4 linked regions of the Xenopus tropicalis genome follow. The protein of the gene in region 1 purifies or fractionates together with the protein of each later gene. This does not show direct contact. Links are inferred from orthologs where the notes say so. Each region holds a gene or a part of one and is shown in the gene's direction. Other genes may lie near its edges. The genes, in order: exosc10, exosc5, exosc4 and exosc3.

Region 1 (5,134 bases):
TAAATGTCCATGAGAATACTCACGTGTATAAAACACTTCCCAACATATTCAGCCTTATCTGAAGAAACAAATTTAGAAAAGGGTTGAATAAGTCCTCAAAGTTTGGTGTTCTTTTTTTTTAATAAAGTTTGGAGCATCCCACTTGCAAAACTGTGGTACTGTCTCCATTTCCTGGCTGTATATGCTGACAAGGAAAAGGCCAGGGAGTGTACCTTCCATTGTGTTTTAGTTACTACATTACCATGCTTTCCTTTTTAAAGGTTCTGTCATCCCTATCAGTATGAATTGGATCACTTTGTACCCTTGGAATCGTCAATGGAGAAGCCAGATATTCAGGTGAGACCACAAAAAGGGCAGCCTTTTAATTTGTGTAAGTAATGAGGAATTTGATTTTAATAATTCTAAAAGATCTGTTTTGTCAACAGCCCGTCCTCTCCCTGCAAGATGTCCCATGTAAGTTTGTGATGAAGCTGGAAGACTTAGTGGCACTGAACGAGAAACTGCTACAGTGTGCAGAGTTTGCAGTGGATTTAGAAGTAAGTGATTTGTTTTTTTTTTAGGGATGTTTATGTAGCAAGCTGTGTGCAGAACTTTTTTTTTTTTTATATAAATAACCAATCTTTCTTTCTTGAAAGCATCATTCCTACAGAAGCTTCCTAGGTCTTACATGCTTGATGCAGATTAGCACTCGGACGGAGGATTATATTATTGATGTGCTGGAATTAAGGAGCAACATGTACATTTTAAATGAGAGCTTCACAAATCCCTCTATTATCAAGGTCTGTAAAATGTTATTTTCCCTTTACACCTCAGGGACCCGATTAATGGTGCCTTATTATTCCTTGTTGCAATTTTGTTTTAGGTGCTTCATGGAGCTGATTCAGATATAGAGTGGCTTCAGAAGGATTTTGGCTTATACATAGTAAACATGTTTGACACTCATCAAGCAGCACGTATTCTTAATCTTGGTCGACACTCACTTGATCACCTCCTCAGGTTGTATTGCAATGTGGAGTCAGACAAGCGATATCAGCTTGCTGATTGGAGAATTCGGTGAGTTCCAGCATAAATAATTTACAAACTTTAAACCAATAAAGTATTACCTGTACATAAATTGAAACATTTGTATACAATTTCAGCCCCTTACCTGAAGAAATGATTGAGTATGCTAGAGCAGATACACACTATTTGCTTTTCATATATGACAAAATGCGAACAGCTCTACTAGGTGCAGCCAACAAGCAGCAGAACCTTCTCCAATTGGTATGGCAGAAAAGCAGGGACATTTGTCTGAAGGTAAGACTTTTTCCTAAATGTAACTTTACAAATGCATATATAGAGAATATCCTGACACAGTGTATTTCCTACAGAAATTCACAAAGTCAATCTTTACAGAGGATTCATATCTAGAGCTATACCAAAAGCAAAAGAAACACCTTAACACGCAGCAGTTGACTGCCTTCAGGCTCCTTTTTGCATGGAGAGATAAAATAGCTCGACAGGAAGATGAGAGCACAGGGTAAGGAGATATATGTGTTTATATGATGTCTGTGTCAAGGCTGTTGAATTATACTAAAACATGTCTTTTTAAGTGTTTAACAATAATACATTTATTTTTAATATTGCAGTTATGTGTTACCAAATCACATGTTGCTGAAGATAACTGAGGAACTGCCCAAGTGAGTGCATCATTGATTTTCTTAAAGTATCTTTAATATTCAACAGTTTTAATTCTAAAGCTACAACATTTTAAACTTCAGAAAATTGTATTGCCAAATAGCCCTTTTTTTTTTTTTCTTTTTGTGCTATACTGACCAACACCAACAATATACACCCTATGAATGTTTTTTTTTTTTTTTTTTTAAGAATTTTTGTATGTTCTATTTTAGGGAGCCACAAGGAATCATTGCTTGCTGCAGTCCAGTGCCTCCACTTGTGCGACAACAAATCAATGAATTATCTCTTCTTATTCATCAGGCGCGTGAGACCCCGCTTCTAAAGGTATGTTATTAAATTAAGCAACTGCGCGTCATGCTCAAACCATCTACTGTTTTAAAGGTGTCTACACTGATTTTGTGTCTTATTGGGAGACCAGGTAACACCAATCGAACATGCCTCATTGGAAACCAGACTATTGTAAGCTTGATATTATGGACAACTATGTGAACCTATTCAAGAATCTCGCCAAACTGGAATATATATATATATATATATATATGTGCTTGAGAGAGGGTCAGCACTCACAGGACTTATACAAACAAATTATTTTATTAAAGAGGAGACTAACGTTTCGGCTAGCACTCTAGCCTTTTTCAAAAGGCTAGAGTGCTAGCCGAAACGTTAGTCTCCTCTTTAATAAAATAATTTGTTTGTATAAGTCCTGTGAGTGCTGACCCTCTCTCAAGCACCTTCAACATTATTTGGACCTGCACCCAGGCAACAGCAACTTATCTATACGTGAGTGCCGGCATTTACTTGGAAGTTTATATATATGGGCTGTGTGTTCCCTCTGAGATCACATGACCAGAAATAATGTAGCTTTAACTGTAACAGGTGGAAGTGTGGAATAAAAGGGCAGATTCTGTCCATTAATTGGCTAATGTGACCTAGCATGTATGTGTGTCCATTAATTGGCTAATGTGACCTAGCATGTTTGTGTGAATCCTATGATCCCAGGAGGTGGCCCCTTCATTCTTAAAATGGCAATTTTCTATTTAGGAATACCCAACAGCACATACTGCTAAAGTATATTTTTATGAAAATGGTTTATTTAGATGAAGCTGTGTGTAAGCTTGTTAAAACAATATATTTTATAGAGACCTACATTGTTTGGGGGTATAGTTTTCCTTTAGCAGATACATGGCTGAAACAGATTTATATTAAAAAGTCATTGCTCTGTTGCTATTCATTTATTGGGGCATGAAAAAGCACATAACAGTGAGTGATGTTTGCACAATGAGCATGTAGAACTTCAGGAAGAGGTTAGTTATAAGCCTGGCTACAGGTATTTAAGGTACGCCATGCCAGTACAGCCAGATTCAGCAATGGCAGCCCCCTCATAGAAGAACATGGGGGATCAGGTAATGGAAAAATATTAGGCTACTACTTTTATGGCAAAATTATAAATAGCATGCGAAGAAAATGTTATTTTTCATAAATGATCAGTTTTCTGGAAGGATGGGAGTGGCCTATTTAGAACCTGACACACGGAGATCTTCCTGTATGCTTACATCACATCATCACGTCCAGGCTTCGCCCTTACTTTTTTCCTATTGGACCAATTCAGTGGGTGCTTGTGCACTCCAGTTGCATAAATTGAAAGGTAATCGGTTTCTCCCTTGCAGTGGCATAGGCAAACTGACTCAACATATCACAAATCTAACATACTGTTACAGGAAGCAATGTCAGACTGACTGGAGCCAAGGCCAATAGGAGTTAAGTCTTTATAGGAATCACAATCCCATTAATACATAAAATCTAGAAGCCAGAGGTTCCAAATAGAAGCATAGTAAAGATGCACCTACCCTGTATCCACCCCTCAGATGTGCTGTGCCTATTGTGGCTATTTATTATTCAGTGTTCTACATGTATGCAAGGAAAAATGTGGTTCCATCCACACCAAACTCAGTGACTGTATCTCAGTGAGAGAACCTGATAAAGGGTCAGGCATAAAATCTATGTAACACTAATATGAATAAATTTTGGGGTGTTCTGGTTTCCTCCCAGACTCCCATCCTGACCACTTTGGGAATGTGACAAAATATATTTAAAAAATAATACACTGGGACAGAGACTTATGTAAAAATGATGTATAATCTCTTTAAAGGAGAAGGAAAGTCATTTTGTCAATTTAATGCCAATAGATTTGCCACATTAGTGCCACCTAGAACAATATATTTATTCTGCAGAAACCATTACCATACCTGAGTAAACAGCTTTAGAAGATTTCTCTGTTTGCTTAAGATAACAGCTGCCATTTTAAGTAGCTTCCTGCCTGCAGTCTAGCCGTTAGCTGATATCACACATTCCTAAGGGAGGGGGGAGGGAGTTCTTAGCATTCTGGTGGGAGGGGGAGCAGGAGAAGGGGAGAGAGGAAATAACTTTGCAGGCTCTGGCCACAGGAATTAAGGATGTTTCTGAGAGAGTAAGTCAGACACTGGAACATCATGTTTACAAAAAAAGAGGCAAAAAAATCCTGTGTTTCTTTTGATAGAGTGTAAGTAAGAGAGAGTAAGTGCTTATGGCTGTATTTACATGAAGCTTACTTAGTTTTTACCTACCTTCCCCTTTAAAGCACTGCAGTATGTAAAGAATACAAATAATAATAATACAAATAATTTTACTTATGCCTATTTGAATCTATCTGACAACACATCTTTTCTGGGACCTGTAACTCTGCATGACTCAAAATGCATTTGGACTTTGACCATTTCTAAAATAACCTCTAATTTCTACTTTCCTTTGCAGTGATGAACATATCATATGCCAAAGGCATAACATTAATAAAATATTAATAAGTTTACCACTCTTGCAGAATTGATTGCAAGTACGGGTATGGGACATGTAATCCAGAATGCTCAGGACCTGGGTTTTTCCGGATAAGGGGTCTATCTGTAATCTCCATACTTTAAGTCTTCTAAAAAATAATTTAAACATTAAATAAACCCAACAGATTTGTTGTGCTTCCAGTTGGATTAATTATATCTTATATCAAGTACAATGTACTGTTTATTATGGAGAGAAAAAAAGGAAATATGCTTTAACATTTTAAAATATCTGTTTAAAATGAAGTCTATAAAAGATAGCCTTGCTGTAATTTGGGGCTTTCTGAATAATGGATTTCATTCTGTTTATATTTACAACAACTATTTTTTCCCCTCCTTTAGTCAGAAATAAGCAGTGCAAAGAAGAAGGGTCCCATGGCAAATCCCGAGGTAAAATGTCAGTGTATTAGTATGCTAGACAGTAATAAAAGAATGATGATGATAAATGACCTGCTTGTCTTCTCTTACTCAGAGAATGGAGAATTTGCTTTTTGGCCCTCACGACACATCTTTACAGTTGGCAGATAATAATCATCTCTACAGTGGGACAGGTAACTCAAATGGTTTCTTAAACATACCTCCCAACATTT
Region 2 (5,918 bases), on another chromosome or scaffold:
ATTACAGAGAAAAGGAATATATGTTTTAAAATTTTGAAGTATTTGCTTATAATGGAGGCCTTCCCGTAATATATAGCTTTCTGAAAAACAGGTTTCCAGATATGGATCCCATACCTGTATTTTAAATGTGTTTGCCCCTCATGCGAATACAGAAAAATTATTGCCTATACTAGTGAGATTTTTCAAATGTTTTCAGAGTCTGCTGGGCTGTATTTAGTGTAAACACAATGTGCAACAATTATGGATGCTGCACACAGCTCTTATTCTCCTGGTATATAAAAATAAGTAAAAACTTGATAATAAATATTAAAAAAGTAGTGCAATCAGAGCCAGCCCAGCCTCTCTGACTAACTTGAGTGTATTTGTTGTATTTCACCTGTTAAAAAAGGCTATTTTATTTGGTATGGTGAGGATTGATTGTGATCTTGCAAACATGCATGCCAATGCATAGCAGCACAATACTGTTAATTAGTGTTTTAGTGTAGTGTATTATTTTGATATTGTCCTTACCTTTGTATTTAAGGGCACAGCAATAGCTGTAGAACATTCTACAGGAGAATAACCACAGAGAAAATAAAAGCCTGTTGGCACACAGATTTACAAAAGAAATTGACCCTGAAGTCTGAAGATAAACTGACCATTTCAACTAGAGCACAATATGGAATTTTCACATTACCAACAAAGCCCAAAAACCTAGTGCAATTTCACTAAGGTTGTACAATGTGAAAATGCTGCACCTTTGTTTCTATTAATGCTGAGCTGCAACACGAGTGCAGCGAGCAACAGCGTCCCGCCCTAAATGGCAGCCAATCAGTGCACAGCTCTGCAGACAAGCCTCCCCATACAATCAGTGACCTTCCAATACCCAGGAAGCTTAACTGACTTAATACAAACAGCAAGACCGGCAAATGTCACTTTCCTCCTAAACCCCCTCACTCTTATCCTCACTTTACTCCTCCATTTGACACCTAGTATTAAGGATAAAACCTTTTATTTGGCCTTTATTTCAAGTGTCATCCTTCCGGTTTACATATTTCTGTCCTTTAACCCTTTCAATGCTGTCCAAAACAGAATCTATGGCACATTAGCTGTTAAATCAGACAAATACTAGGCATATCCTAATTAAACTGTAGTAATAGTTATTTAATATGCAAGAATAAGTAATAATTAAAACCATCTAGTTTTGCTCCAGACCACGGGGCTCTTCAAGAGGTTATGTTCCCCTACAGGCCAAAGTGCTCCTCTGATTTCTGTCCATGACATTATCATTGTATTATAATCCAGCTCCAAAATGTATGGTATAGTGCTGGGGGAGGGGGTTCCATATTTTTTTTTCCCACCAGAGCATCACACATCTTTAATGCGTAACACCTTGGTCTTGCCCGTTAAATCACATAACTAAAAGCACAATTTAGGCTACAAGTATCTGCAAATAATTATGTTTTCTAAAAACATTTTACACTGCACCATGAAAAAAAAGTTAGAACACCTTGAAAATATATATTCTTTCCCGTATGCAAAAACACAGAGAATCCAATACAGTGTAAGCAATAACTGTGGTACAGTACAGAACTAGGAATATTACTAGAATGTTGCTTCTATAATACTCCAACCTATAATATTCCAGTCCCAGAACTGCTGATCAAAAGCACAGGCAATTTTATACAAATACTTATATATAGATATGTACAGGGCTGTGTATACAAGTAGCACTATACAAATATATACCTGGAAATATGTGTGTGCATTTTGGGAGTATGTATACAAACATATTCTTCCTATTTATATAGCTGAAACAATGTTGTCACCAGCTGGTTTATGGACAGACAATCAACCAACCTGTTATTTAAGGCTAAAGCATATAAATGTATATACTATATAAGCTGTAAATTCAAATGTAAATTTGACTCCTTACAAATCTAGTCAGCAATATCACATATTTTTACATAATTCTGAACTGTAACTATAACCCACGTTTATTATAGCATATAACTTTTAAAACACATCTCCCAATTCAAACAGTTCTTGTAGTTCCCATGTATATACGTCAGACAGGCATACTAGTATTTTAGATGCGATGTACCTTATGGTACAAGATGTGTATACTTCTCAGTATACAAGACCAGGGTCTCGCATTTAGAAATAAAACATTTAAACTCCCCTTCCATCTGATTATCGTCTGTTTCACTCACACCAACGCGACCCCTGTACTCCTCTCACCTGTCTCCCACCGGCGCCTCTCCACCCTCCTGCCACAGTCCGGACCCTTAGAAGTGCCCTCAGCGCCGCCATCTTGCTTCGGAATGCTATCCCACTGCCTACATTTCTCTTAGGACCCCTATTCAACAGCTTGTCAAAAATAACCTCTGAAGTGAGAAATTGCGAGAATTGCGTATTTCCTATTATTCCCTGGGAAAAAAGGCTTTGGCATTGTTGTGTATAATTATACAGGCAAGTGTGGCGGTTGCCAGACCCCAAGGACCCCGGAAGTGTTTGCACATGTGGAAAGAAGGTTCTGATGGAGGCTGTAGGTTCTGTATTGCGGGAATACGGGTGTGAGCAGAGTTTGCTGAGCCGTCCCGATGGATCCGCTACGTTTCTTCAGGGTTAGTTTTGGCGCGCCTATAATTCCTCAAATCTTATGTGGAATACGAGGATATCAAGGGATACATATTGAAGGGAAGCGTAAAATGTTTTGCGGCTAAATCATTGGATGGAAATTGAATTGTAAATCCAGTGGCCGTTATTCTCATTTAATGGAACAGCTCTTCCATGTTGTCATAATGCAGAGGACAGCAATGGGGAATGTATGTGTTGTATTTGTCTAAAGTAGGTGGTTGCTGAACTGCAAACTTGTAAATTAAGCAATTTTCCAATATAGGATAATAAAAAATGTTCATGATTTTAAAATTGATACAATTGTTACTGAGAAAAAAGTTTCAGCCTGTTTATTGCAACTCTCTCCTGGTTTCCCCAGCTACTCTTAAAGGAACAGTAACATCAAAAAATGAAAGTGTTTTAAAGTAATTAAAATATAATGTGCTGTTGCTCTGCAAAAAACTGGTGTTTTTGCTACAGAAAAGCTACAATATAAATAAGCTGCTGTGTAGCCACGGGGGCAGCCATTCAAGCTGGAAAAAAGGAGAAAAGGCACAGGTTACGTAGCCGATAACTAGTAGATAAGCCCCATATAATGGGGGTTTATCTGTTATCTGTTAAGTAACCTGTGCCTTTTCTCCTTTGAATGGCTGCCCCCATAGCTACACAGCAGCTAACTTATATAAACTATAGTAGTCTTTCTGAGGCAAACACACCAGTTGTAGCAATATAGGGCAACAGTACATTATATTGTAATTACTTTTATACACTTTCATTTTTTGGTGTTACTGTTCCTTTAACTACTCCAAATCTCACAATGCCTTGCTTGTTCTGCCATTATCAGCTGCAAAGTAAAATAAAAGAATAGTACAAGGCAAATTTGTAGGAACTGAGGTGGTGGTGAGGAGAGACATTTTTTATTTAATTATTTCTATAGTCTGGTAGCAAATAATAGCAAAGGCAGACAAACTGCTCTTGGAATTTTATTTAGAAATTACTTAAAAAAAAACATTTAACATGTTTAATTCCTGCATATTATAACACTGCTTAAAATTACAATTCATTTGTACAAATACATATATATTTATTTAGGAAAAGGTCCTTTAAAATATTGGACACCAAATTGAATTGGGGACAGACTGACCATACTCTTACTCTAGAGCTATAAACGGTCATGTACAGCACTGTGATTATGATACCTGTGTGTACGCATTTAAATAAACCAAAATATAGGGAATATACACCATATTAAAAAATATAAGGGTATTGGAAGTCTCCTTAGAGTGCCATGACCATATACAGGCACAGAACCAAAGGCCAAGTGGTTTAATACAGGTCATTGAACTCTGAGGTGGCTTCTAATATCCACATATTTTACAACAGAGGAGGTTTTAGTCAGTAAATTATACAAATTACATCACTGATCAATGTTGGTAAAGAAAATCTTGTGTATTATAGCTATAGGGGCTTGTAGTTTTGGGCTCCTAGGCTCTGCACCATATTCAATTTTAGAATAAAGATTAGAAATGAGTTTCAACAAAAAATGTGAGCTATCCTTACAAAGTAGCAATCCAGTACCATGTTTAGGTGGTTTATAGCATTTTGACCAGTTAATAATTTTTAATGCAGTATAATTTTTAATGCAGTTCTCCAGTCACACAAAAATAGATTAATTCGGAAAAAAGAAACTAAAGGGTGTAAGCACATTGACCTAGATATCAAGCAGGTATATCATGGTGGCTTAGAATTCACACCAAACTCTCTGCAACTCTGTTCTACCAAGCTGCATTGATCAAGACCTATCACTTTATCCACCTTGTGTACAGTTTTACTCACCACCTTTTTATACCTATCACCATTTGAAAACTCGAAAGAGGGACACAATTAACTGCCATGCTCCTCCCGCCATTTGAAAACTACAAAGAGGGACACAGTTAACTGCCATGGTATGACTGCACCCACATTTTACCACACCCAAAATACCATGATCATAAAATTAAAACTAAAACCAAAAAAAAAAATCCAGACATGCCAGTAAAATCACTGCATAAATAACCAGAGAAGCCTCCATTAACTAAAGACATGACCATAAGATCACTGCATAAAATGGGTAGATTGAATGCATTGCCTCACTTAAGTTGCACAAGCAGCAAATCACAAACTTGTTCTTTTCTAGTACCCCCATGGTGCTTGTCATTTTGCCTTTGCCTGAAAAGGCAATTTTTCCATTTCCACAGTGGAACTTACGGCCATCTGTGATTATGATTGGCTGTGTTTGAGCCCCTGCTGAGATTGCTTTAAAGAAGAAAGAAAGGTAAAAACTCATAATTCAGGTTCGTTTATATATCACACAGGCAGTAATCTGGCTACTGTAGTTTTATGTGACTAAAGCTGACATACATGCACCGATGCACCTAGTTTCATACGATATTCACTGTGTGTATGGTGGATCGACGAGGTGAACATCACAAAAGCTTCGGATATGTCGCCTCGTGGAACGGGCGGGACAGAAGACTTTTATACGAGCAAAATCTGTGTTTAGGGCTTAATTGTCAGGTGGAGGTAGAATCCTTATTGTTTCTACCTCCATATCTGACAATTCAACTCTGAATGCCAGTGGAGGGTGGGAACGATCTTTCCTGAGACAAATGGTTGCAGGAAAGATTGTAATTGTAAGGTGTATGGCCACCTTAAGGCTAACTGTTCAACTGATTTCCATGTTGCTTTCCTGTAGGCGACACATCTGTAATGGCTGGAGTATATGGCCCTGCAGAGATCAAGGTCAGCAGAGAAATCCATAATAAAGCCACATTAGAGGTGATCCTCAGGCCCAAGACTGGGTTGCCTGGTAGGTGCTTCCATCAGAGACATGTTCTGTTTTTCTGAAGGCAAGAATTACATCTAACAGCTAACAGACAAATACTTTGCATCATTGCAGTCTAACCACAAAAAAGTTGCCCATGTGACATGTTTCTGGTTTTCTGTACTTAGACATTTCTTTTCACTTTTTATCTACCTGGAATATCATTCTTTTTTTTTTTTTATTCCCCAAAGCTATCCAGGAGAAAAACCAGGAGCAGCTAATTCGTGAAACATGTGAATCTGTCATCATTGGATCCTTGCATCCTAGAACCTCAATAACCATTGTGCTACAGATAGTCAGTGATGCTGGATCTGTATCCTAAACCCACTTTGATATTCTAGCTTTTGACTATTATAGGCAATAACAAATTTTATTGTGTTTTTTATTTGTGCCTACTGTAATAAGCACAGGGGTCAGTCTGTCTTTGAAATTCATGATTTGCTGTGCTAATAAGATG
Region 3 (5,843 bases), on another chromosome or scaffold:
GGCAGAGACGTGCTCGCTCTCTGCAGCCGCTCTCTTTTGGACCTTGTCTCTGCTGTCCTTCAGCTTCAGCAGACTCTTCTCTGTCACCTCTTTGGCAGGGATCAGATATTCCAGAACCTTTTTAAGTTTCTTTTTCTCCTTCTCGGAGGCCTCACTCAGCTGCTCCACGTTGTGCCCTCGGTGCGCCCCCACCAGGCAGCAGGAGGCACAGATAGAGGCGCCATCCTCTCGGCAGTGGTACTCCAGCAGCCGGTTGTGCACGGCGCATTTGCGCTTGGCCAGGGAGGCGGTGGGTTCCACTAGGACGTGTTCCTCTGCGCTGCTGTGTAGTTGCACGTGACTGTCGCACAGGGAAGCCTCACACCGCACGCAGTACTTGGCAGCGGGCACCGAAGCATCGCAGTAGGTACAGTAAATGTCAGTCTTGTTTTGCTTTGGCTGCTCAGAACGAAAATGTTCCGCAATGTTCCGCAGCCGTGAGTTCTTTTTGAGTTCCGGTCGTGTCCGGAATCTCTCTCTGCATTCGGGGCAGGAAGGCTGCTCCTCTATCCCTTCCTGCCAGTCCCAGGTTTTGCCAATGCAGCTCAGGCAGAAGTTATGGCCGCAGGGCAGAGTTACGGGCTCGGTGTAAATGTTCAGGCACACGGTGCACGTTACCTCGACTCTCACATCAGCAGCCGCCGCCATCGTGGAACAAGGAGAAAGAATGGAAAGTTCCTCCGAGTCACAAAGAATCGAAACTCGTTTTACTGGATCCCTCAGGCACCAAGGCAGGAGGCGTGGCCAGAGGCACGGAAAGGAGCTGAGCGCTCAGCACACAGTTTATTAACCCCTTCTTCCCACTCAACTTGTAGCCACTGCACCTTTCACAAGCTCTAAACATCTGCAATGTAGGACTCTAAAGCCAATGACTCTAAAGTAGCCCAAACAGATGGAGCCCAGAACTGTTCCTATTAAAGCAATAATGTCATGGGAAAACATGTTTTTTCAAAACCCATCAGTTAATAGAGCGTCTCCCGCTGAATCCTGCATTGTAATCTGTTTTTCCCATGGGGCTAGCCATATTCTTCATTTCCCAGGGTGCCACAGCCATGTGACCTGAGCCCTAATAAACTTCAGTTTCACTTTACTGCTGCGCTGCAAGTTGGAGTGATATCCCCCCCCCTCACCCCCAGCAGCCGATCAGCAGAACAATGGGAAGGGAGCAAGATAGCAGCTCCCAGTAGGTATCAGAATAGCACTCAATAGTAAGAAATCCAAGTCCGGCTTGGGACTCCTCCAGTTACATGGGAGTAGGAGAAACAATAGGTTAGCTGAAAGCAGTTCTAATGGGTAGCGCTGGCTGAAAGCTCAGACTCAGGCACACTTTACTGCTGCGCTGCAAGTTGGAGTGATATCCCCCCCTCCCCCCCAGCAGCCGATCAGCAGAACAATGGGAAGGGAGCAAGATAGCAGCTCCCAGTAGGTATCAGAATAACACTCAATAGTAAGAAATCCAAGTCCGGCTTGGGACTCCTCCAGTTACATGGGAGTAGGAGAAACAATAGGTTAGCTGGAAGCAGTTCTAATGTGTAGCGCTGGCTGAAAGCTCAGACTCAGGCACACTTTACTGCTGCGCTGCAAGTTGGAGTGATATCCCCCCCCCTCACCCCCAGCAGCCGATCAGCAGAACAATGGGAAGGGAGCAAGATAGCAGCTCCCAGTAGGTATCAGAATAGCACTCAATAGTAAGAAATCCAAGTCCGGCTTGGGACTCCCCCAGTTACATGGGAGTAGGGGAAACAATAGGTTAGCTGAAAGCAGTTCTAATGTGTAGCGCTGGCTGAAAGCTCAGACTCAGGCACAAGGCACTGAGATGGCGCCTACACGCCAATATTACAGCTACAAATACATTTGTTGGTTGAAGAATAAAAGGTTAAATGGCAGAGGGAATTATTTGCTGTGTAACAGTGTCAGTACTATGAATCTACAGTGAAAGGGAAAATGTAAATGCTCAGTGGAATGTTCCTTTCCTGGTTACTATGGGGAAAACCCATAGGTGAGTAGGCTGCACAGTGACAGGGGAACATAATATATATATATATACAGTTTCTGCTCAGTAACATGGGAAAATAACAGTGTGAAATAGGAAACATGGCTCAGAGCCCAACTGGGCCGCACAATAGCGCCATAGGGACCAGCAATAGGAATTAGCGCCACTTGTAACGAACTGAGGTAAAAGCGCAATTCTACTACACGAAGTAACTATCACTTTGGCACCGCCCCTTTATGTGACGTGGAGGCGGGCACCCAGACACTTCCGGAAAGAGGAACGGAAAGTGGCGGCGCGGTGGTTTCTGGGAGTTGTAGTTTATACCGTGAGAACGTGGTGCGGGATGGCGGGGCTGGAGCTGCTGTCGGACCAGGGCTACCGGGTGGATGGCAGGAAAGCCGGGGAGCTGCGCAAGATACGGGCCAGGATGGGAGTGTTCGCTCAGGCCGATGGCTCCGCTTATATCGAGCAGGGGAACACCAAGGCCCTGGCTGTGGTATATGGGCCCCATGAGGTGAGTGCTGGGGCCACACGGACGGGCTGAATGGCTCAGAGGCATTACTATAGGGGAGAGACCGCTGGGTTACTTGGGTGGGTAAGTGGGTGGCACAGTATGGGGGTGGGTAAGTGGGTGGCACAGTATGGGGGTGGGTAAGGGGTTGGCACAGTATGGGGGTGGGTAAGGGGTTGGCACAGTATGGGGGTGGGTGGGTATGGGGGTGGGTAAGTGGGTGGCACAGTATGGGGGTGGGTAAGTGGGTGGCACAGTATGGGGGTGGGTAAGTGGGTGGCACAGTATGGGGGTGGGTAAGGGGTTGGCACAGTATGGGGGTGGGTAAGGGGTTGGCACAGTATGGGGGTGGGTAAGGGGTTGGCACAGTATGGGGGTGGGTAAGGGGTTGGCACAGTATGGGGGTGGGTAAGTGGGTGGCACAGTATGGGGGTGGGTAAGGGGTTGGCACAGTATGGGGGTGGGTAAGGGGGTGGCACAGTATGGGGGTGGGTAAGGGGTTGGCACAGTATGGGGGTGGGTAAGGGGTTGGCACAGTATGGGGGTGGGTAAGGGGTTGGCACAGTATGGGGGTGGGTAAGTGGGTGGCACAGTATGGGGGTGGGTAAGGGGTTGGCACAGTATGGGGGTGGGTAAGTGGGTGGCACAGTGGGGGTGGGTAAGGGGTTGGCACAGTATGGGGGTGGGTGGGTAAGGGGTTGGCACAGTATGGGGGTGGGTAAGGGGTTGGTACAGTATGGGGTGGGTAGGGGTTGGTACAGTATGGGGGTGGGTAAGGGGTTGGCACAGTATGGGGGTGGGTAAGGGGTTGGCACAGTATGGGGGTGGGTAAGGGGTAGGCACAGTATGGGGGTGGGTAAGGGGTTGGCACAGTATGGGGGTGGGTAAGGGGTAGGCAAAGTATGGGGGTGGGTAAGGGGTAGGCAAAGTATGGGGGTGGGTAAGGGGTAGGCAAAGTATGGGGGTGGGTAAGGGGTTGGCACAGTATGGGGGGTGGGTAAGGGGGTGGCACAGTATGGGGGTGGGTGGGTATGGGGGTGGGTAAGGGGGTGGCACAGTATGGGGGTGGGTAAGGGGTTGGCACAGTATGGGGTGGGTAAGGGGTTGGCACAGTATGGGGGTGGGTAAGGGGTTGGCACAGTATGGGGGTGGGTAAGGGGTAGGCAAAGTATGGGGGTGGGTAAGGGGTTGGCACAGTATGGGGGTGGGTAAGGGGTAGGCAAAGTATGGGGGTGGGTAAGGGGTAGGCAAGTATGGGGGTGGGTAAGGGGTTGGCAAGTATGGGGGGGGTGTAAGGGGGTGGCACAGTAGTAGGGGGTGGGATAATGGGGGGGGTTGGCACAGTATGGGGGTGGGTAAGGGGTGGCACAGTATGGGGGTGGGTAAGGGGTTGGCACAGTATGGGGGTGGGTAAGGGGTTGGCACAGTATGGGGGTGGGTGGGTAAGGGGTTGGCACAGTATGGGGGTGGGTAAGTGGTTGCTGCTGGGATACTTACCCTGCCTACACACGGCTGCCTGTGCCCACTGCTAGTCCCGCCCCCATACCCCAGTTCCATGTGTAACGGTGCCCGTAACGCTGTGCCCACAGATCCGCGGCTCTCGCAGTAAAATGCTCCACGACCGCTCAGTGGTGAACTGCCAGTACAGTATGGCGACCTTCAGCACCGGCGAGAGGAAGCGCCGCCCCCACGGGGACCGCAAGTCCAGCGAGATGACCCTGCACCTAAAGCAGACGTTCGAGGCCGCCATCCTCACCCAGTTGTACCCGCGCTCACAGATAGATATCTACGTGCAGGTGAGTGGGAGGGGCATCAGCCAGTGGGTGGGGCATCGGCAAGTTGTAACAATAGTGCGGGGCTTAAATAGGGGCTGTTTCACTTTAAATTGACCTTAAAGGGGAGGTTCACCTTTGAGTTAAACTGTTAGTATGAGAGTGATATTCTGAGGCAATTTGCAATTGGTCTTCATTTTTATATTTGTAGTTTTTTAGTTGTTTCACTTGTTCAGCAGCTATCTGGTTGCTAGGATCCAAATTACCTTATCGACCAGGGAGTGGTTTGAATGAGAGACTGGTATATGAATAGGGGAGGGGCCGAATAGAAAGATAAGGAATAAAAAGTAACAATAACTATAAAACTGGAGCCTCACAGAGCAATAGGGTTTGGCTGCCGGGGTCAGTGACCCCCATTTGAAAGCTGCAAAGAGTCAGAAGAAGAAGGGAAATAGATAAAAAACTATAAAAAATATAAATAATGAAGACCAATTGAAAAGTTGCTTAGAATTGGCCATTCTATAACGTACTAAAAGTTAACTTAAAGGTGAACCCCCCAAATCCTTTAGTCAGTGGTCCCCAATCTGTGGCCCTTGGGCTGTACTAAAATTCCCAGCATCCCCCTGGCCACCAAGAGTAGTTCCTGGGAGTCACTATGTGGGGATATCTCAGTGGTGCATGTATGTGGTATCTTGGTGCTGCCATACTGGCTCCCGTGTTGTGCTGCGCTGGATATGATCACATGACTCTCCCTGCCCAGATCCTGCAAGCAGACGGGGGCAACTACTGCACATGTGTGAATGCCGCCACCCTGGCCGTGATCGACGCCGGCATTCCCATGCGCGACTACGTGTGCGCCAGCTCGGCGGGCTTCATCGAGGACACGCCCCTCGCGGATCTCAGCTACGTGGAAGAAGCCGCCGGAGGGCCCCAACTCGCCCTGGCCCTCCTCCCCAAGTCGGATCAGATTGCGCTGCTGGAGATGAACTCGCGGCTGCACGAGGATCACCTGGAGCGGGTGATGGATGCCGCGAGCAAGGCGTGCAAGGATGTGTACGCTGTCCTGGATCAGGTGGTGCGGGAGCACTTACAGGAGCTCACTACCCTGCTGGGGGACCGCACAGCAGCTTGAATCTGATTGGCTCGGCTAGTTTGGGCTTCCTGCCCAGGCAACTCACTCGAATGACGATCTACTTTCTCTCAGGACTGCGTAATAAACAGGAGGGGGTGGGGCCTGACTTGTATCTTGAATTACAGGTAATGGGGTGGGTTTACCTTTAAGTTAACTATTAGTATGTTATAGATTGGCCAATTCTGAGCAACTTTTCAATTGGTCTTTATTATTTATTTTTGCTTCTGACTCTTTGCATCTTTCAAATGGGGGTCACTGACCCCGGCAGCCAAACCCTATTGCTCTGTGAGGCTCCAGTTTTATTGTTATTGTTACTTTTTATTCCTTATCTTTCTATTCAGCCCCTCCCCTATTCATATACCAGTCTCCCATTGAAACAACTCCCTGGTTGCTAAG
Region 4 (5,597 bases), on another chromosome or scaffold:
AGGGTAGAGCAGGGCAGGCAAAGGATGGCACACACAGGCAGGGTAGAGCAGGGCAGGCAAAGGATGGCACACACAGGTGGGTAGAGCAGGGCAGGCAAAGGATGGCACACAGGTGGGTAGAGCAGGGCAGGCAAAGGATGGCACACACAGGTGGGTAGAGCAGGGCAGGCAAAGGATGGCACACAGGTGGGTAGAGCAGGGCAGGCAAAGGATGGCACACACAGGTGGGTAGAGCAGGGCAGGCAAAGGATGGCACACACAGGTGGGTAGAGCAGGGCAGGCAAAGGATGGCACACACAGGTGGGTAGAGCAGGGCAGGCAAAGGATGGCACACATAGGCAGGATAAACAGGGCAAGGCGGGACAGGCAGAGTAGGAAAGGAGACAGAAAAACCTAACTTCCATGATTACACAAGTTACTCATCATGACCACTCCAGCATTGCTCCTACAGTCTGTCCGGTGTGAAAACACGGGCTAAGGCTGATATCAAACGGGGCATTGAAAATCCCTGTGCCTGTGCCCAGGCACAAGCAGCCGATATCCGACAAAAAAGGCAAGACTTTGTTTTTTCAGCAAGTATCTGCTACATGTGCCTGCACCCAAGCATATTCGATGCATTTGAGTGCAGGCAGAGTTAGGGGGATTTTTAAGCAGATGTAGCGTATTTTTGGCAAGTGGTTTTCAGCTTGCTGAAAAAAAACGCTAGATACACTATGGGGCCTATTTATTAAAGTACGACAGGTACGAATTACAAAAAATTTGTATTTGATTGTACTGTGCGTATTTTCTGCGACTTTTTGGTACTTTGCGACAAAATTTGTGCGACAAAATTGTATTGTTGCGCCGAGTACGAACTTTTCGGATTCACTCAAGCTTTGGTATCGTGACGTTCCTTGGGCCAGGTTGGAACTGCAGAGTGCCATTGAGCCCTATGGGAGACTTTCCTTGGGCCAGGTTGGAGCTGCAGAGTGCCATTGAGCCCTATGGGAGACGTTCCTTGGGCCAGGTTGGAGCTGCAGAGTGCCATTGAGCCCTATGGGAGACTTTCCTTGGGCCAGGTTGGAGCTGCAGAGTGCCATTGAGCCCTATGGGAGACTTTCCTTGGGCCAGGTTGGAGCTGCAGAGTGCCATTGAGCCCTATGGGAGACTTTCCTTGGGCCAGGTTGGAGCTGCAGAGTGCCATTGAGCCCTATGGGAGACTTTCCTTGGGCCAGGTTGGAGCTGCAGAGTGCCGTTGAGTCCTATTGGAGGCTTCCAAAATCATGCACAGAAGGATCAATGTCAGAAAGGTTTTCCTGCTGTTTACGATCGTTCAGATACGAAAATTGTGACTTTCGGATCGCCAATAAGATATTATCGTGACTAATACGATTTTTTTGTAAGCATGTTTGTGATATTTGCTGTCATCAGAAATTATTGTATTTAATCCAAATTTTTCTCAATTTGGAATTTGAACTTGTACTTTGATGAATAATGCAGGGGATTTCAGCCTGAATTTGAGGTAAACAGATAAGGACCTGCCAGGATCTATAGCAGTGGTCCCCAACCAGTGGCTTGGGGGCAACATGTTGCTCACCACCCCTTTTGATGTTCAGTGACCTCAAAGTAGGTGCCTATTTTTAAATTTCTGGCTTGGAGGCATGATTTGAAAGCACAGAAACACATTTTACTCCAAGCAGAGCCTCCTACAGGCCAGCAGTTTACATGTGGCTACCAAACAGCCAATCACAGCCCTTATTTGGCATCCCCAAAGAGCTTTTTTTGCGCTTGTGTTGCTCACTAGTAAAAAAGGTTGGGGGGCCCTGATCTATAGGGAGCTCCAATAAACGAGGCACTTTTAAAGATAGTATGAATTTTATAATTGCACATAATTTTGGGAAGAGGTGGCAGACAAAAAAACTTGCCCATAATTTCTGATGGCAGCATTGCCTTTCCATACAAATATGTCACCCAACAGGCAATTTCTAACACTGTAAGTGGGTTGAAGTCACTATTTATTGCATAAGAAGACAATGACTAGATCAGCACAGACTGCAAGTCACTTTCCTAAATACTATTGGGCCAGGTTAGAAAAATAAATACTGGCAGCGATTTGGGAAAAGAAAACACAAAAAGAGAACACTGCCGCCATCTAGCGATCAGCCAGAACACTGCACTATACGGAACAAAAGAATTGAATTGAGTAGAATTGAATCGCTTTTCGAACCCTTGCCCAGCTCTCCAGTACTTGCTTCCTTGCAAATCTATTGGTGTATTACCGTCACGTGCTAAGTGTAGTAGGCAGACGCACTTCCGCTCTGATAGCAGCATGTCAGCCGTGAGTATTGAAGATGCGGTCGGTCAGATCGTTCTGCCTGGGGATGTGCTTGTTCTTTCTACCCAGTCCCGGGATGCTCCTCTGTCTCTGAGCGGCCCCTCTACATCTAACAGGCCCCGGGTTGTGTGTGGCCCCGGGCTCATGCGGCAGGAGGATGATCTGCTAGTGAATAAGTGTGGGCTCCTGCGGCACAGGGACCCGGCAATCTACTGGGTTGATTCTCAGCAAAAGCGGGTAATGGTCTCTTTCTGTGTGTTGGGAACGCCTGGTCTCGGTGCTAGGGCACAATTATACTTGCTTTTTTCCTAGTACTTTTATGTGCAGCACATTACTCACCTATGAAGCACCTATAAAATCCAACTCCTAATGCAATTTGGTTATTAAATGGTCATTTATCCTTTGTTTTCCTGCAGTATTAACTGGTGGGCAGCGTTCATTTACTAAAGGGATCACCAACTTTTTTTTTACCCTTTTGAACAGAAAATATGGGCTGCGATTAACTATTTGGCCGCCTATAGGAGGCTTCATTTGTGTTTTATGCAACTTAAGCCAGAAATTCAAGACTGCCCACTGGGAGAAACATCCAAGGGGTTGATGAGCAACATGTTCGGGAGCCACTGGTTGGCGATCACTGATTTAACATAAGCTTTGCGGTCTTGACATAACTTTAAAGGAGAAGGAAAAGCTAAGTCACTTGGGGGTGCCAAAATGTTAGGCACCCCCAAGTGACTTTAATCGCTTTTACCCCGGGCTGGTGCCCCTGTACGGAGAGAACAGCACCAGCCTGGGGTAGCTGCAGCGCTTCCTCCTTCGCGTGCGCATGCGCAGTAGAGTGAAAAGCCGAACTGAAGGCGGCTTTTTCACTCTACTGCGCATGCGCCGGACTCGGAGTCGCAGCTTAACGAAGCCGAAAGGAGGAAGCGCATCGCCCCAGGTGCCCTGGCCTGGTGCTGTTTTCTCCTAACAGGGGCACCAGCCCGGCGTACGAGGTAATCGATTCAAGTCACTTGGGGGTGCTTAAAATTTTAGCAACCCCAAGTGACTTAGCCTTTCCTTCTTCTTTAAGCGAGAAAAGAGGGCTTTAATGCTAGATTACCAAAAGGACTGCATCAATGATAGTATACCTATTCAACATGCAACATGATTCTCAAGCTTACTTGATGCCTATGAGCAGGCCTGGACTGGCAATCTGTGGATTCTGGCAAATGCCAGAGGGGCTACCGTAAAATGCCATAGACATTCACTATTTATTGGGCTGGTGTGGGGACTGTTTAGCCTCTGTGTACTTGAAATGCCATGGCCTTTTTTAATCTGTCAGGGTCTGCCCAAGGGCCCCTTACGCAGGACTTTAGGCTGCTGAATTAGACTGGGGTGGGCAAGTCACCAGCTTTATCAACCCATGTATAACTAGCTTAAGCCTCAGAAAAACAAAATACTGCCACATGGATGAATCTGCCAAACAAGGGTCACCTTTGTTTACATGTTATTGTTTTTTGAGGCTTAAAGGGGACCTGTCATCCAGACATAAAAAGCTGTATAATAAAAGTCCTTTTCCAATTAAACATAAAACCCAAATTCTGTTTTTTATTAACATATCCATGCCCTAATATTATAAAGGCATTTAAAAATCCCAGCTGTCAATCATGTATTGCCTGCCCCGCCTCTATGCCTTAGGCATAGAGGCGGGGCAGACAATAACTTTCCATTTAGCACTTCCTAGATTTCGCTGCTTTTTTTACTTTTCCCCTCCCAGGCATCTGGTCCTACGTTCTATCACAGTGCTGTCCAACTGGCGGCCCGCGACCCCCCTCTGTGTGGCCCCCCACCTGTCTGGCTGCTTTGATGGCTTACTCTTGTGTAAGATTTAAATGGTATCAGTACTGAGATTAACTGGCCCCCTGCATGGTTCTCACGTCATATTCAGGCTGTAATCCCTCTGTATTGTTTAAACATGTAATCCCCTGTGTTGTTCACACCTTTTAGTCCCTGCATTGTTCACCCCCTGCAGTGTTCACACCTCAGGCTGTAATCACCCCCATTGTTCCCCTGTTCACACCTCAAACTGTAGGAGCAGTAGAAACCCACAAATAATCCCTGCACACTACAAAAAGAACATATACTGAGGTGGTACTGCAAATAATTTTTTTTTTTAATATATAGTTATTGTGCAGACTGTAGGAGCAGTGACAGAATTGTGTCACTGTATGCTGCCTGTGTGTGCGCCATACAGCATAGGGCAAGCAGAGTATGGCACACACAGGCAGCATAGGGCAGCAGAGTATGGCACACACAGGCAGCATAGGGTAGGCAGAGTATGGCACACACACACAGGCAGGGTAGGGCAGGCAGAGTATGGCACACACAGGCCAAGTATGGCACAAACCAGCCAAGAATGGCACACACAGTCAAAGTATAGAACACGCAGGCTGGGTAGGGAAGGCAGAATATGGCACACACAGGCAGGGTAGGGAAGGCAGAGTATGGCACACACAGGCAGGGTAGGGAAGGCAGAGTATGGCAGGTTTTTGCTGTACTACAACCATTAATATGGGTATGGTCATGTGATAACACGGGTGTGGTTTCAAGTGGGTGCGGTTTCAAAAAGGGGAGTGGTCAAAACTGGCTTCCATTATCGGCCCTCCACCACGTAGGTCGGAAAAATTCCGGCCCTCGGTAGCACCGAAGTTGGACAGCACTGTTCTATCACATAAACACACTGCTTGCTGCGATTCTGTAATTCCAAGACTGTAGTGTAAGTCAAGTTTATTTTGCTCAACTAATTTGGAATTATTTCTTAGGGTGATAGCTCCCCTTTAAGGTGGCCATACACATTCAGATTTTAGTCTTCCTCTAACGAACGTTCGGATATCGATTGTTTAAATGCGACAATCTAAAACTAAGATTTAAATTATAGGACAAAATCCTAAAATAATAAATTAAAGGATGTTTTGAAAGTAAAAGACAGCAATCGTACGAAAGTGACATCCTAGAAATGCATTCCAAGCAGGGCTGGAACTAGGGGTAGGCAGAAGAGGCACCTGCCTAGGGCGCAATGGTGGCCCCAATGGGGGCGCCAGTTAGCTTCCTCTTCTTTTACCTACCTCTAGTTCCGAACCCTGTTTCCCCACTGCAGCAGCCCTGGCAACCCCACCACCCAGTGTGCAGGCATGTCTTCTCACTTGCGCATGCAAGAGGGGAGGGGAGGGGCAAGCCGACCAGGTTGCCTAGGGCGCCTGGTTGGCTTGTCCCAGTACTGCCCCCAAGGATGTTTTGTATAATT

The links.
Region 2: the proteins of exosc10 (region 1) and exosc5 purify together in Homo sapiens (co-immunoprecipitation; 8 studies listed by BioGRID and IntAct, with this or other methods). This does not show direct contact. The link is inferred for Xenopus tropicalis from reciprocal best matches to the Homo sapiens genes EXOSC10 and EXOSC5.
Region 3: the proteins of exosc10 (region 1) and exosc4 purify together in Homo sapiens (affinity purification with mass spectrometry; 9 studies listed by BioGRID and IntAct, with this or other methods). This does not show direct contact. The link is inferred for Xenopus tropicalis from reciprocal best matches to the Homo sapiens genes EXOSC10 and EXOSC4.
Region 4: the proteins of exosc10 (region 1) and exosc3 purify together in Homo sapiens (affinity purification with mass spectrometry; 8 studies listed by BioGRID and IntAct, counting the BioPlex papers as one, with this or other methods). This does not show direct contact. The link is inferred for Xenopus tropicalis from reciprocal best matches to the Homo sapiens genes EXOSC10 and EXOSC3.

What each region holds. Positions count from the first base shown.
Region 1 is NC_030683.2:64,881,490-64,886,623, reverse strand, and holds part of exosc10 (exosome component 10), read left to right. Parts: intron 1-260; coding exon 261-336; intron 337-425; coding exon 426-536; intron 537-635; coding exon 636-779; intron 780-862; coding exon 863-1,053; intron 1,054-1,139; coding exon 1,140-1,296; intron 1,297-1,370; coding exon 1,371-1,519; intron 1,520-1,628; coding exon 1,629-1,679; intron 1,680-1,889; coding exon 1,890-2,001; intron 2,002-4,886; coding exon 4,887-4,934; intron 4,935-5,016; coding exon 5,017-5,095; intron 5,096-5,134. UniProt on the Homo sapiens protein: Catalytic component of the RNA exosome complex which has 3'->5' exoribonuclease activity and participates in a multitude of cellular RNA processing and degradation events.
Region 2 is NC_030684.2:79,501,578-79,507,495, reverse strand, and holds the start of exosc5 (exosome complex component RRP46), read left to right. Parts: upstream 1-2,488; 5' UTR 2,489-2,518; coding exon 2,519-2,606; intron 2,607-5,332; coding exon 5,333-5,446; intron 5,447-5,652; coding exon 5,653-5,774; intron 5,775-5,918. Other genes in the region: bckdha (2-oxoisovalerate dehydrogenase subunit alpha, mitochondrial), read right to left, coding at 2,221-2,292. UniProt on the Homo sapiens protein: Non-catalytic component of the RNA exosome complex which has 3'->5' exoribonuclease activity and participates in a multitude of cellular RNA processing and degradation events.
Region 3 is NC_030682.2:151,308,320-151,314,162, reverse strand, and holds the start of exosc4 (exosome complex component RRP41), read left to right. Parts: upstream 1-2,371; 5' UTR 2,372-2,375; coding exon 2,376-2,546; intron 2,547-4,132; coding exon 4,133-4,339; intron 4,340-5,075; coding exon 5,076-5,447; 3' UTR 5,448-5,843. Other genes in the region: E3 ubiquitin-protein ligase TRIM7, read right to left, coding at 1-687. UniProt on the Homo sapiens protein: Non-catalytic component of the RNA exosome complex which has 3'->5' exoribonuclease activity and participates in a multitude of cellular RNA processing and degradation events.
Region 4 is NC_030677.2:113,707,258-113,712,854, reverse strand, and holds the start of exosc3 (exosome complex component RRP40), read left to right. Parts: upstream 1-2,216; 5' UTR 2,217-2,308; coding exon 2,309-2,551; intron 2,552-5,597. UniProt on the Homo sapiens protein: Non-catalytic component of the RNA exosome complex which has 3'->5' exoribonuclease activity and participates in a multitude of cellular RNA processing and degradation events.